3 linked regions of the Saccharomyces cerevisiae S288C genome follow. The protein of the gene in region 3 interacts with the protein of the main gene of each other region in a biochemical or structural test. Each region holds a gene or a part of one and is shown on either strand. Other genes may lie near its edges.

What was found. The genes of interacting proteins can lie anywhere in the genome.
Region 1: the proteins of ELA1 (region 3) and DSK2 form a complex in vitro, tested with the Saccharomyces cerevisiae proteins (one study listed by BioGRID).
Region 2: the proteins of ELA1 (region 3) and RAD26 form a complex in vitro, tested with the Saccharomyces cerevisiae proteins (one study listed by BioGRID).

Annotation. Positions count from the first base shown.
Region 1 is NC_001145.3:817,190-821,115, reverse strand, and holds DSK2 (ubiquitin domain-containing protein DSK2), read right to left. Parts: upstream 2,290-3,926; coding exon 1,168-2,289; downstream 1-1,167. Other genes in the region: FCP1 (protein serine/threonine phosphatase), read right to left, coding at 1-860; ubiquitin-ubiquitin ligase BUL1, read left to right, coding at 2,535-3,926. UniProt on the Saccharomyces cerevisiae protein: Involved, with RAD23 in spindle pole body duplication. Involved in the ubiquitin-proteasome proteolytic pathway.
Region 2 is NC_001142.9:495,463-501,779, reverse strand, and holds RAD26 (DNA-dependent ATPase RAD26), read right to left. Parts: upstream 4,426-6,317; coding exon 1,168-4,425; downstream 1-1,167. Other genes in the region: putative E3 ubiquitin-protein ligase HUL4, read left to right, coding at 1-1,067; PET191 (Pet191p), read right to left, coding at 4,771-5,097; RAV1 (Rav1p), read left to right, coding at 5,329-6,317. UniProt on the Saccharomyces cerevisiae protein: May be involved in the preferential repair of active genes.
Region 3 is NC_001146.8:215,688-220,208, forward strand, and holds ELA1 (elongin A), read right to left. Parts: upstream 2,976-4,521; coding exon 1,836-2,975; downstream 1-1,835. Other genes in the region: exosome non-catalytic core subunit CSL4, read left to right, coding at 1-114; PDR16 (phosphatidylinositol transporter), read right to left, coding at 300-1,355; URE2 (glutathione peroxidase), read right to left, coding at 3,450-4,514.

The DNA.
Region 1 (3,926 bases), on a different chromosome or scaffold from region 3:
GTAGGGTCCACGATTTTGGCAATTTGCAAGGCATAAGCCCTTGTAGCCATTGTGTAGATATGCATTTCAAAAAGAGGCGCCACTTTAGCGAAAAATTCCTTTAAACCGGGCCTTACCTTCACGTAGTACCAACATTTTCTTACGGGAGGCGGTCTCAGCATAGAACCATCGTCATTCATGTACATAAGTGGGAGTACTAACTCCTCATCCAACGTAAAGCTCTTGACGTCTCTTAATGTTTCAAAATTCGGATTATTGGGGTCGTTCTTCCACTCTGCAATCGTAGGGTCCACGCCACAATGGATGATGGTTTGATCTAAATCCACCACTAAGATAAGTTTCTTATCCCGTCGCAAATGCTCCTTCAATGCCTTGCCTGTTCTAATGGCTTCTGTCTCGCTAATCTGTAAATCCACGTCCCCGACAACGTCTAGTGGTACACCATCGAAGGCATCTGCAGAAACTTCTTTCCCGCATTGAGTACATAGCCCGCCATACACGATGTCATGGTTACATGGCCTTTTTATTTCGCAAATCACTTGGTTAGCAGTGGCTACTTCATCTCCTACGTCTACATTCCAACTAATCAAGTCCCCCTCGTAGGGACTTTCGAAGAATTCTATGGATTCACGCAGTTGTTTGGTTGGCGGAGAGACACCATTACTTCCGGCGCTGCCGCCGGGGGAAACATCGTGCTCGTTATCATCGTCACCAGTGTCTGAGGCCCTTTCCACCAAATACCAGAACTTATAGACAAGCAACCTATCACCCTCATGAAGGTACGAACCTACGCTTGGAATGAGTTTATCGATCTGAATCGGATACGGCAAGCCTTGGGGAGACCTTATTTGTGTGGTCATAATCTGCTTTGCTTGTGTTTACACGTTCGCGGTCAATGCAAGTACCGCTATATGACTAAATACAGTACCCTGGCTGCTAATTAAAGGGGGAAGGGGTGATTGATTGGGATGATTAGCTCGTTGTTATTATGTGTTTATTACTGTAGGTGTGAAACGAAAATTTTTTTTTTTCTTTCGCAAGGGCGCGTCTTCCAAAAGTGTCCAGATATTATGATGATATTATTGATGGATACATGTAATACGTAGATTAAATATATGCCGATAGAGTAGGGTAAAAGTATATAGGTTGCGGCATCTAGACGTTTATTTAAACATCGCCGTTCAGTAGTGAATCAAGAGCGCCTTGGACGGAGCCACCGCTTCTCCTGAGGGCTGCGACGTTTCTATCGAAATCGAAGAAGCCCATGTCGTTTAGTTGTCTTAATTGATGTTCATAGCGTTCTTCCGGTGGTCTGGTGTCTTCTGCTTGAGATGCTTGTACAGGGGGTTGGAACATAGACGCTAGCAATGCAGGATCGAAGGCGGGCATCCCGGTGGATGCAGCGTTTCCCGCGTTAGCAAAGGGGTTTAATGCAGGGTTCAGAAGAGACGCAAATGGGTTTGCAGCTGTGTTAGCGCCTGCGTTGGTACCTGCATTAGTCCCTGCGTTGTTCCCTGTGTTGGATGAGGAAGTAGTGTTCGTGTTGGAGCCTTCCTCTGGAGCATCGCCACCAGGAGCGGGGAAGGCAGAGGCAGCCCCACCTGCAGAGCCCATACCGGCATTAGGGTCCATCATTCTTGCGAATTGCATGCTCTGTCTAATCATATCAGGATTGGTGAGCATCTGTCTAAACATGGGACTTTGTAGCATTTGCCTGGCTTGTGGACCCATGGCCTGCAATTGCGGGTTGGACTGGATCATAAAGTCCAACATCTGAGGGTTACTCAACATCTCGTTCATTTGCGATTGGAAGATGGGGTTTTCCATCATCCTCAACAGCTCGTCTTGGTTATTCGAGTCGTTGTTTAATGCACCACCGTCCGGGCCAAACATGTCTGCAGATGGCATATTCAAATATCCAGCGTATCTGGCACTGGTCAAGTCGGCCAGCGGATTGAAGCCTGCACTTTGACCTGACGACATGTTCGGGGTGGCGCCAGTGCCAGCTGCTGCACCGGTGGCGGTGGCGTTATTTGCGCCAGCGGCACTGGCGGTTTGTGGTTTGGGTTGTGACTTGACCAGATGGACGCTGTGACCGTCTTGAATGTGGTATGACTCCACGGTTTGGTCGTCCTTTAAAATCTTACCCGAGTAGATCAATCTCTGATTTGCCACCGGGATACCGTTCGCTTTGTTTATCGCCTCCTTGAATTGCAACACTGTGCTTTCAGGTGCCACATTTACTTCCCACTTGTCTTGTCCTGACTTGATATGTATATTCAACGACATTATCGTGCTAGAATGATTCGGTGTCTTTGATCCGTCTTATTTGCCTCTCGTCCATCGGTGGATTGAACTTAAAACTGGCTTTAAATTGTTCTTTCCCTTCAGCGGGCCGTGACCCGCTCTCAGAGGCTATTTTAATAATGATAAAAGTATTGCAATGAAGAGCCGCATAGTGATTATGGAAAGAAGCTCTTAGCAAGGGCGAAAAGAGACTGTTCGTGTGTGTCAACAGGTATATCGTACGCTAAATGGCCAAAGATTTGAACGATTCGGGGTTTCCACCGAAGAGGAAGCCTTTGCTGCGTCCTCAACGATCTGATTTTACCGCAAATAGTTCGACAACTATGAACGTTAATGCAAACACAAGGGGGCGTGGTAGGCAGAAACAAGAGGGTGGTAAAGGCAGTTCGAGGTCACCGTCGTTACACTCTCCAAAATCATGGATAAGAAGCGCGTCTGCTACGGGGATCCTTGGACTAAGACGTCCCGAACTAGCACATTCTCATTCGCATGCTCCTTCCACCGGAACGCCTGCTGGAGGTAATCGTTCTCCTTTGAGAAGATCAACTGCAAATGCGACCCCCGTCGAGACCGGAAGGTCCTTGACCGACGGAGATATCAACAATGTTGTTGATGTACTGCCCTCATTTGAGATGTACAATACCCTGCATAGGCACATTCCGCAGGGCAACGTCGATCCAGATAGGCATGATTTCCCACCTTCATACCAAGAGGCCAATAATTCTACTGCAACAGGTGCTGCGGGCTCGAGCGCTGATCTCTCACATCAATCATTGTCCACTGACGCATTGGGTGCCACACGTTCTTCGTCAACATCAAATTTAGAAAACTTAATTCCCCTTCGAACCGAACATCACAGTATTGCAGCACATCAATCAACCGCTGTCGATGAAGATTCACTGGATATACCTCCCATACTTGATGACTTGAACGATACAGACAACATTTTCATCGACAAATTGTACACTTTACCAAAAATGTCCACACCCATCGAAATCACCATCAAGACGACGAAGCATGCACCTATACCACACGTGAAGCCGGAGGAGGAGTCCATTTTGAAAGAGTATACGTCGGGGGATTTGATTCATGGTTTTATCACTATTGAAAACAAATCTCAAGCAAACCTAAAGTTTGAAATGTTCTATGTCACTTTAGAGTCTTACATTTCCATTATTGATAAAGTAAAGAGTAAAAGAACGATTAAACGGTTTTTAAGGATGGTAGACTTGAGCGCTTCTTGGTCATACTCGAAAATAGCACTGGGGTCCGGTGTGGACTTCATTCCCGCAGATGTTGACTACGATGGTTCTGTATTTGGGCTAAACAATAGCCGGGTTCTGGAACCCGGAGTCAAGTACAAGAAATTCTTCATTTTCAAATTGCCACTGCAATTGCTAGATGTCACTTGTAAGCAGGAGCATTTCTCTCATTGTTTGTTACCTCCCAGTTTTGGTATTGATAAATATAGGAACAATTGCAAATATTCCGGTATCAAAGTCAATAGGGTACTTGGGTGCGGTCATTTAGGTACAAAGGGCTCCCCCATCTTAACTAACGATATGTCTGATGACAACCTTTCGATCAATTACACTATTGATGCAAGGATTGTCGGTAAA
Region 2 (6,317 bases), on a different chromosome or scaffold from region 3:
TCAAGGAACATCAAGGCGATTTATTAAAATCGCTGAGAATAGAGTTTGTTAATGAACCTGGAATTGATGCGGGAGGGTTGAGAAAAGAATGGTTTTTCTTATTAACAAAATCGCTGTTTAATCCGATGAATGGCTTATTTATTTACATAAAAGAAAGCTCACGTTCATGGTTTGCCATTGACCCTCCAAATTTTGACAAATCAAAAGGAAAAAACTCACAACTGGAATTATATTACTTGTTTGGAGTTGTCATGGGGTTGGCGATTTTCAACAGTACCATATTAGATTTACAATTTCCAAAGGCGCTTTATAAAAAACTATGCTCAGAGCCTCTGAGTTTTGAAGATTACTCGGAATTGTTTCCGGAGACAAGTAGGAACTTAATAAAAATGCTCAATTACACAGAGGATAATTTCGAAGACGTCTTTTCTTTAACATTTGAGACTACGTATCGAAATAACAACTGGATTTTAAATGACAGTAAATCGAGCAAAGAGTATGTAACGGTAGAATTATGTGAAAATGGCAGAAATGTGCCAATAACCCAAAGTAACAAGCATGAGTTTGTCATGAAATGGGTAGAATTTTATCTGGAAAAGTCCATTGAGCCACAATACAATAAATTTGTTTCAGGTTTTAAAAGGGTCTTCGCAGAATGCAATTCTATAAAATTATTTAATTCTGAAGAGCTGGAGAGATTAGTGTGTGGTGATGAGGAACAAACTAAATTTGATTTCAAATCGTTAAGATCCGTGACAAAGTATGTAGGTGGCTTCTCCGATGATTCCAGAGCGGTTTGCTGGTTTTGGGAAATTATTGAAAGTTGGGACTATCCATTGCAGAAGAAATTATTACAATTCGTAACGGCATCTGATCGTATACCTGCAACGGGTATCTCTACTATCCCATTCAAAATTAGCTTGCTAGGGTCGCATGATAGTGATGATTTGCCATTGGCTCATACATGTTTTAATGAAATATGTTTATGGAATTATTCCTCGAAAAAAAAACTAGAACTGAAATTACTTTGGGCAATTAATGAATCTGAAGGTTACGGGTTCCGCTAAGAGTCTTCAGAATATACATATACACATAACACATACATATTTTTTATAGATATTTCTATGGGTAAAGTTACGTCAAGGGTACTCTGTCCATTCTAAGTTTTCATGAAGCATTGTTATTCCTAAATTCTTCATCAAGCACCCACCCTTTACGCTCTTTATCAAACTGTGCTATGGTTTTTAATAATGCTCTAACCTTAATAACGTCTTCTTTATCAGAAAGACTGACGCCAATGCTGTTAAGTATGCTAACACTAGATGAGAAAAAGTTATTCTGTTTCTGTAAATATGCCCGAATATTTTCTAGCGTTTTGGTATTGGAATTGATTTCCTTGGATCTTGCGAAGGTTATACCATCGTCGTAATTTTCTTGGCGAGCTTCCTTGGATGCCTCTTTTTGTGATTTTGTAATATTGCCTAAAATGGCAGCTGATCCAGTTAATTTATTTTTCAACGGATCTCTCTTTCTAATTTTACCTGCTTTACCAAACCTACCTGTCCAAGTAGGTGTCCCAATTTCATATTGCTTAGTGATCTTTTTTCTCGATTTCCTTAGCGCATTAACCGCCTCAATCGCTACTCTGGAAGCCTCTTTTGTAATTATATTCGAAGAAGAACTGCCCGCGTGCGAATTGACAACCGAATCATGACTCATAACGGTTTCTAAATTGCTCTCTCCTCCTAGCAACCCTTCGATTAATCTATCATCCTCTGTTTTACTATTCTCTTTTTTTTCCTTACCGTTATAAAAGCTTTCTAGTTTAGATACGCCAGATAGGTTGACCAGTTGTTCAAAATCGTCACTTTCCTCTGATTTGGAATTTTTTAAATTTTCGGTATGTTTTTGAACTTCTTCGTTCAATTCTTCTGTAGAATAACCGTTTTCACCCCCCAGTGAAAACAGATCATGGAGTTCGTGAATTTTGAAAAATCGTTTCTGCTTAGGATCAGTCAAAATCCTGTTGGTTAAGAATTGTTTGAATATTTGTCTATGATAAATCTTCTCCTCTATTGAACCTCCTACCATCAACCTATATATTGATACCTCTCTTTTCTGCCCAATCCTCCATGCCCTTTCTCGAGCTTGCATGTCAGTAGATGGGTTCCAGTCTGGATCAAAAATGATAATTCTATTAGCACCGGTTAAATTAACACCTAGCCCCCCAACTCTTGTGGTTAGTAAGAATACATCGAAAGATTCATTGTTAAACCGGTCAACTAACGACTGTCTCCCTTTGATATTAGTTGTCCCATCCATTCGTAGGTAGTTCAAATGTGATAAATCGGGATCTTTCGTTGATATAAACTCCTCTAGAATATCGAGCATTTGTCTCGATTGAGTGAAGAGTAGGGCTTTATAGCCCTGCTTATGCCACAGTAATAATAATTGCTTGACAACCTGCATTTTTCCGGATCTTTTAGGATCACCGTAATCTGGATTATGTCTCTTTGTATCTCTGTCAAGTAAATCGGGGTGATTACATATTTTCCTTAGAATGTCGATACCAAATAGAACATTTCTCTTACCGTTTTGTATTTGGTTTAAATCTGAAGAATGCAGAAACTCCAAATATTTGCTTCTTTGATATTTCGTAAGCTTACAAAAGAGAACCATTTCTTTCTTTTGTGGCAGATCTTTTGCAACATCAGCTTTCACACGACGTAACAGGTACGGTGAAATCAAGTCACGCAATGCAACAGCACATTTGTAGCCGGTCTGAACTTGTATGTTTGTTGCGTTTGCATAACCACCAATATTTATAGGTATGACAAACTGTTGTTGAAACACAGGTAGAGTTCCTAATTTACCAGGGAAAATGAAATCAAAAAGCGACCAAAGCTCGGTTAAATTATTCTGTATCGGTGTTCCTGAAAGAATGATCCTATTATGTGTCTTCAGTTTTTTGCAAGTCAATGAAATCTCCGAATCTGGGTTTCTAATCTTATGTCCCTCATCTAAAACAGCATACTGCCATTTAACTTTTAGTAGCTTATCTGAATGTATTCTTAACCCAACGTACGTGGTAATTAAAATGTGCCCATCAGTAACGACTTTATCTATCAACTTATCTAAATGATAGCTTGATTCCAATGCCTTCTTTGTCCTTGTTGAGTTCTTCCAATCCTCGTAAGAAAAATCACTTGGCTTTGAATTCATTATCAAGTTCTCTAGATCGTTTTCATCCATCTTAAATTTTTGGTCAGAAGCCATTCCTGAACCCATTGAGTGCAATATGACCGTCCTCAATGGAGGCCACCAATGCTGGAACTCATTACACCATTGCTTCATCACAGTTGCAGGACAGACAATTAATACAGGGCCTGTTAATAGACCTGAATGATGCAACGCTGCGATAAATGCGATAACTTGAATCGTTTTTCCCAGACCCATTTCGTCACCAATAATACCGCCACAGTTCTGCTGGTAAAGCTCATAGAGCCACTGAACGCACGTCTTTTGGTAATTAAATAACAGCGAGTATATTTCACCGGGTATTTTGAACTGGCTATTAAGTTTTGCGTCGGGAATATTCGGATGAGGTCTTCGCCATTCTGGCAAGTCCGATGACCTTTGACTACCGCAAGAACGTTGTTTCACCCATTTTTTTAACCTTTCTTGATAATACAACTCGTCCCCATCATCCTTCGCCTCACCAGGTTGGCCTCTGAACCGCAGGTCTTCCAGTTCTTTGAGAATTTTATCGTCATTTTCTTCTTCTTCGTCATCTTCACTCTCTTTACCACTCATTTGATAGTCTTGATCGCTGAGATTGTCATCCTCATCCGTTAAATTTTCTACCATTTGTTCTGTTGCCATTTCAAAATCCTCATCTTTTTGTTCGTCATTCTTGGCATACTCTCTGTTTGCAGTGTCCAAGCTGAAACCAGCCTTGTGTCCAAATGCAGTGATCTTACCAGTCCTGATTAAAAACTCCTTCTCAGTTTCACCGGGTCTCTGCAGCCCCTCTTTGGAACCTTTATTTTCAGCACCTTGATCTACCTGCTCTTTCAACTCTTTAATCCTTGATTGGATATCGTCTATGTCCTTCAGAACTCGTTCAATATCGTCTGATTGTAAGTTCTTGATCTGGTCTCGGAGATTCTGCTTAACAGATATCCTAGTGGTATTGTTCAACTTCCTTGTGAGATGATTCTTCTTATTGACATAACGTTGCAGAGCGGTCTTACTCCGTTCTAGACGAGTCTCTTCTTGCTGCAGCGATTGTAGGTTGCTAAAGTTAGTTACATCATTAGCTATTTTTTCCTCCAAACTGCTTTGGGAAAGCACGTTAACTCCCAGATCTTTTAGTGACTCATTGTTTTCAAGTTTCGCATTGTCTTGCTGCTCTTTATCTTCCATCACTGATGTATGTTTCTCTGAGCAATGTTATATATATATATATATATATATTATCAAACCTCTTCCCTTCTTTTTTTTTCTTCCACTTTTATTGCATCGCCCTTAACTGAAATGAAGCTAAGGTATAAATTTGTACTTAGACTGATTATAATTTCTACTTACGGAACTTGTTAAGTGCATTTTTATTGTTCTACCCTCTATTTTTTAAATGTAATGTTCTTGAATACGCTACATGCGTATATATATATATATATATTGTAAGAGGATTACTGGACAAACCGAATAAAAGAGCTTGACGCATATATTTATTTATGTATATATTTACAGGCCAATTTTCATAAATAATCAGTCCTTCTGCTGGCTGTTCAGAAGTTTTAGCTTTTCCATCTCCTCCCTCGGATCAAACTTTCCTTTGCACAAGTTTTCGTACTGTTGATCGTACTTGCCAGTCGACAGAGGTGCGTTACCTGTGAACCGCTTAGTCATGTCGACGATTCCTCGCTTACAATCCAAAAATGCTTTCATCTGAGCAATACAAAGTTCGGGCAGATCCTTATTCAGCTCTGGATTGTCAAGACATTCTTGAGGGTTATGTCTCTCTATCATGACACAGGGCGATCTCTGCAAACATATAGCGACAGCCTTCTTCTGATCTTTACAACTAGCTACCATTCTTTGATATCTACAAACGCACTGCAAATTTATTTGTGTCTATTCTGTTCCGATTAATTGTTATGGCAGCCTTTTAATATACTATCCCTCTTTCTTTAAAGCTGCCCGCATAGCGAAACCTCGTTATGTTATTGTTTCAAGCACTTCAGTTTTTTTAATAATTAAAGGGATCTAAGAACACCGCAAACAATTGAGAAAGTAAACAAACGTGCACACGCAAAGGTAGTTCTCATGTCATTGAACTTTCTTCCAGGACGCCCCAATGCTACCCCTCAGACAGCTTGTCAAGCAACATGGCAAAATCATACCATCTTTGCATATTGTTCAGGGAATAATTTAATCATACTTACCAACAAATTCACTAGGTTACAGACCATATATACACAATCAGACTGTACTGCGGTCGATATTAACAGCCAGAATGGATTCATTGCCCTTTCCTTCCACAATAGGGTGCTCATCTACAAGCCCATTCATCAAATTATGCAGAATCCCAAGTGGACCCAATGTTGCCAGTTGTTCCATGATGACACGCCAGTAAACTGCCTAAGATGGTCTTCTGATAATGAGTTAGCCATTGGATCTGATTTTCTTTCTTTTTGGAAAATTAAGGATAATTTTGGTGTGTATCAACCTATTTTGCAGTGGAACCAAAAACAGCCTAAACCTGTTTATAATGTGATTATATCACAAGATTCGCAGCTGATAGTCAGTATTGGGAAGTACGACTGTAATGCTAAACTATGGAAGCGTGTTTCAATAGTCGGAGAACAAGCCATCTTTAACCTTACTATGTTGCCTCATCCGAAACCTATAACTGCAATGCGGTGGAAAAAAGAGCCAGACCAGGTGAGTAAAAACAACACTGCCTCTCATGCTCTTTATACGCTGTGTGAAGATAAAGTTCTGAGAATATGGTCTTGTTTTGAAATGGAGAAAAACCATACTGTGCAAATATGGGGTGAAGTGCCTCTTTCCCCCACGCAGAAGTTCTGCGTGATAATAGACAATTGGATCATTAGGCAAACTCTCAGTGTGAAAGACTCGGAAATCTTTGATATATCTGACTCAGACATTGTTATTCTGGGTTCAATGACTGGGGAAATGGAAGTTTTGGCTTTGAATAATCTTTCCCAAGATCCTCCAAAACCAATGACTAAAAAGACCATTTCCCATAAAAAAGTCAAGAAAGCAACTATGCTAAACGATACAAGATATTT
Region 3 (4,521 bases):
TTCGCCAGAGCTGCTAATGGTGCTGGTGGATTGATGTATGCTACAGACTGGCAAATGATGACTTCACCGGTTACAGGCGCTACAGAAAAGCGCAAATGTGCCAAACCTTTTTGATATGTAACAGCTTATCTACAGTGCATATAGACGCGTATATATTTAAAAGAGGGTATTCGCTTCTTCTTCTTTAGATTGCATTCTTTGATGGTTAGGAAAAAGAAGCGGGAACGTGATTAAACTTTTTATTCTCTTTTATTTATTATATATTATAGTGCATTATCATTATCTATCTAAATTTGCCTTTACACGGTACTGCTTTCCGATTTTACTGGGTAAAGAAGTTTTTCATGAGTACCTCTTAAATCAACCTCACTTAAACCTACAATACCACCGAAGCTTTGAAACCTCTTAAAATAATGATCTCTTTTTTCACGCGCGGTTTCCACCAGAGCTGGCCAATAAACATCATGATTGTACTTGAATTTCAGATCACCACCATACAACGAATCTAGTTCGTTCTTAGGGACATATTTAACAAATGGTTCATCAAAAACTAGCTTTTCACGGGTCAGTGGGTCAATAAAAGGGTGAATTAACTTCAAGAAAGTCCATGCTAACCAAGGAATATTCGTCAAAAGTGCTTTTCCTAGTCTTTCTGGATAATGAGTTTGTAGAATATGCAGCACTTCTTTCCCTACACCAATAGGTGGGATTTTACTATTGCCAGGTACTTTAGGAACATCAGGGTAATCTTTAAAGTCTATTAGCAAAGCTAGAGAGTCTTGACCAGCTGGCATAAAATCGATAACTCTTTCCAACATGAAGACCAAGTGCTGTACCTGTCTGTGAGAAGTCTTTGTATTTTGTCTGCCCGGTTTCAAATATAAGATAGGTCTAGCATCGTTTTCGTAACCCAAAATCACCTGCTTACCTGATTCGTTCTCGACGGCCACCAAGTCAGCAGTTATTTTATCACCATGCTCTTCACCTAAATGACTAATACCGAATTCTCTTCTCCACGCTAGAGTCATGGTGATTCTATCGATACAGTCTTTTAGCACCCATTTAGTAGCCCTTAGGTAACGTAAAAAACATTCTCTTGTCAACCATGCCTTTTCTTCTTCCTCTAAGGGTTTAAGATCATCCTCCGACTTATTTTTTTCACTTGTATAAACCTTCAAGTCAGGGTTACTGAAATGTTTTAGCACTTCGTCATACATTTTTTGTTGCTCACCTGTAAGTGGTTTTTCTTTTGGAATAGCTATCGAAGCAGGAAGTTCTTTGATAGGCTTATCAATATTAATCAAATTTTTTGGGTCTTCTGGAGCCTCCTTCTTTTTGCTAAATCTCTTGAACATTTTTTGCTTTTGTAATTTTTTTTATATAAAGTGGTTTTGTATTATTTGTTGGATGGAGAGAAGGGAACAGTTAGAAACAAAATAAGGATTGAAATATTTTTCTAACGAAGAAGTGGTATTAGTCTATCTAGAACTGATATATATACATACATATATATATATAAATATATATATATTCAGACAATGAGCACAATATTGTGCATGTACAAGAGTGGGATGCGCATATAGTGCATGAACCTATTGCGATAAAGATCTGGCAATATATAGAGAGATATATCGCATGCTTGCACTCAAATAGAGTCGGGTGGAATGAAAAAAATCATAAAAATTACTAAGACGGAAGACAAAAAGATGACGCGCAACGCGAAAATCGCTTATAAGCAGGGATGCCGTTGCTTCCGGTTGCTTTCTTTCTCCGCGGAATGACTGGACCCGTGGGAAATCGCAGGGGATGTGACGGCCTTCGGAGTTGGGTTACTGCTATTTCCGTGGCTCATAGATATACGGACGGGTAGTAGGGCCGGTTGCGGTCACGTGCGGAAAACTATCTCCGTCAGATCCGGCATTTCGTACGAAAATTCCGGATTTCTTCTTCTTGTGGCCCTTTGTTACGGGATTTGCGGTGACACTTGATATTGAAGTTACAACATCTTTGTGGGGATAAGGATGAGAAGTAGTACGGTGATCGTTGGTGATCGCTGTTGTATGGGGTCGAGAACCTGCAGCGTTTGTCTTCGGAGTAGGCCTGAATAGCGCAGGTTTTTTACGATTGAGAAAGATTGACGGTGATTCGGATCTTCTCTTCTTCACCGGCGTGATGGGCTGCGTAACATCTTTCTTCTCTGCTGTGACATTATCCATTTGACGATTTACCTTAACAGGCTCCGGTTTGATGGACAATGGGCCTTTCTTGGGGGAAGACGATTGTCCGCCCGCTTGGCCACCAAAGGCCACACGTTGCGCATGCCTTTTTGCAATGTTGAATCCGCCGTCTTTGAAATGCTTTAGTCTGGACTCGTGATCTTTCAACGATTTCATGTATAATTGCGAATGGGGTTCGTTGTGCAACCTTGTAGTCTTCTTGGTGTTTCTCTTTTTGAAGTAAACAGTGTGGTCAACCACTATGGTTTGCTTTTTTTCTCTTTCTTGCTGCAACTTCTGCATTTCCAGCCTTAATCTCTCTGCGCTTTCCTCTTGTTTCTTTTCCACTTCTTGTTGGTACTTTGAGTATAACATTCTGTATGGTATTCGGTACTTGTTGTTTCGGATGTCTTTGACGACTGATTGACGCACGCAAGACTTCAATAAATCCTGATTCGAATGGTACAGTTCTATATCGTTTTCCTTAACGAAATCAAAGTAATATTTGCAAATAATGTCTCTCTTAGAGACAAATTGTTCGTGTACATTAGTCGGGAAATCTTGCCTTAAAAATTCTAACCATAGTTCATCATCGTCAAATATCAATAGTACGTTGCTTTTCTCAAGTTTTAATAGTTGTGGTATTTTTACTTTCTGCAGTATCCTCTTTAATAAGTGATAGGGGACATTACTCACAGATTGTATGTTTGAATGATTTCTCATCAATGAGATTTCACATAGTGTTTGTAAACTTTTCATATCTCGACATCAATCGATTTATACATTCACTAGAACGTATTTCCATGAACAAAAACCGTTTGCATGTAAGTTACATATGTATCTAATCGTCATAACTGAACAAATCCCTTCTTCGCAAATATTAAATATTTGAAATTTTCTATTGTGATCTTTCTTAAGCCCATCGTGGCAAATGCCGAGAAAAATACGCAATTGTACCAGCTTTATTGAAAGCGCCAGATATACAGTGACAACACCCCGAATATAGTTGAGAAATTTATAGTATTTCAATTATTACATAAAACAAAATTTTGGAATTCTGTGGTTGGGGTAACAAAGAATAAATAGAAGCAACAGAAATTTCAAAACTATTATATACTTCTATGACATTTTTGTTTATATTTGCACTTAATTTTCCTTTTTGTCTGCCTATATACATACCCTTATAACCTTCTTTTCCTCCTTCTTCTTTCTTTCTTGTTTTTAAAGCAGCCTTCATTCACCACGCAATGCCTTGATGACCGCGGGTCTTCTCATCATATGCTTCGTCCATTTGTAAACTTCTGGAAATTCAATTTTGATATTAATGCCAATTCTATCCACGACATTATTCCATGGGACAAAGGCCAAATCTGCTATAGTTAATTTATCTCCTACAAGCCATACGGGATAATCAAAGAAACGACTTTGTGACATTGGTGTTGTACCAGCTGAGTATGCAGCCGCATTTTCCGTGTCTAATTCCATCACCAGCGCTTCTCTACGTTCAGCCAAGGCCATCTCCACTACACCGTAAACTCTTCTAACCTCATCCGTATATCTTTCTACAGCACTTGCTATCTTTTGTGAATGGAAGTATCTGAAATGTAAAGCTTGTCCAATCATTGGCGCATGCCCTGACGTTTGGAAGAACAACCATGCGTTGATTTGTGATTGGTCAGCTAAATCATCGGACCAGAGTAATGGATTACCAGTCTCTTTGTAATATTTATTTACCAAATGTAATAAAATCGCCCCTGATTCCCAAATAGACAAGTTGTCCATACCATGATCGATTAAAGCTGGAACTCTTGCATTAGGGTTCACAGACACAAATTCGGGGGCCCTATGTTCGCCAAGATTGAAATCTAGGAAGATTGTGTTATAATGAAATCCAAGTTCACTTAGTACTATAGCAACTTTGAATCCATTAGGCGCAGACCTGTGAGAGAAAAGGGTATATCCCTCCAGTGGTTGTTCTTGAAAAAATTTTGTAATTCTGGAATACTCCACGTGACTCATATCCGAAAATGCCTGTTGTTGTTGTCGATGTTGTTCTAAGGTATTCTTGATATTATTCTCGTTATCATTATTTTGGCTACCATTGCGGCCGCTGTTATTGTTTTGAACATTATTGTTATTACTACTGCTATTGTTATTATTATTATTATTTACACCTGTTGAAAATTCAAAATTTATATTACTTTGATCGGTGGTTGTATTACTGTTCCTGTTTCCTATGTTTACTTGACGGAGCGCATTGGAGAGATTCGACACTTGGTTGCCGTTGTTATTCATCATTTGGTGT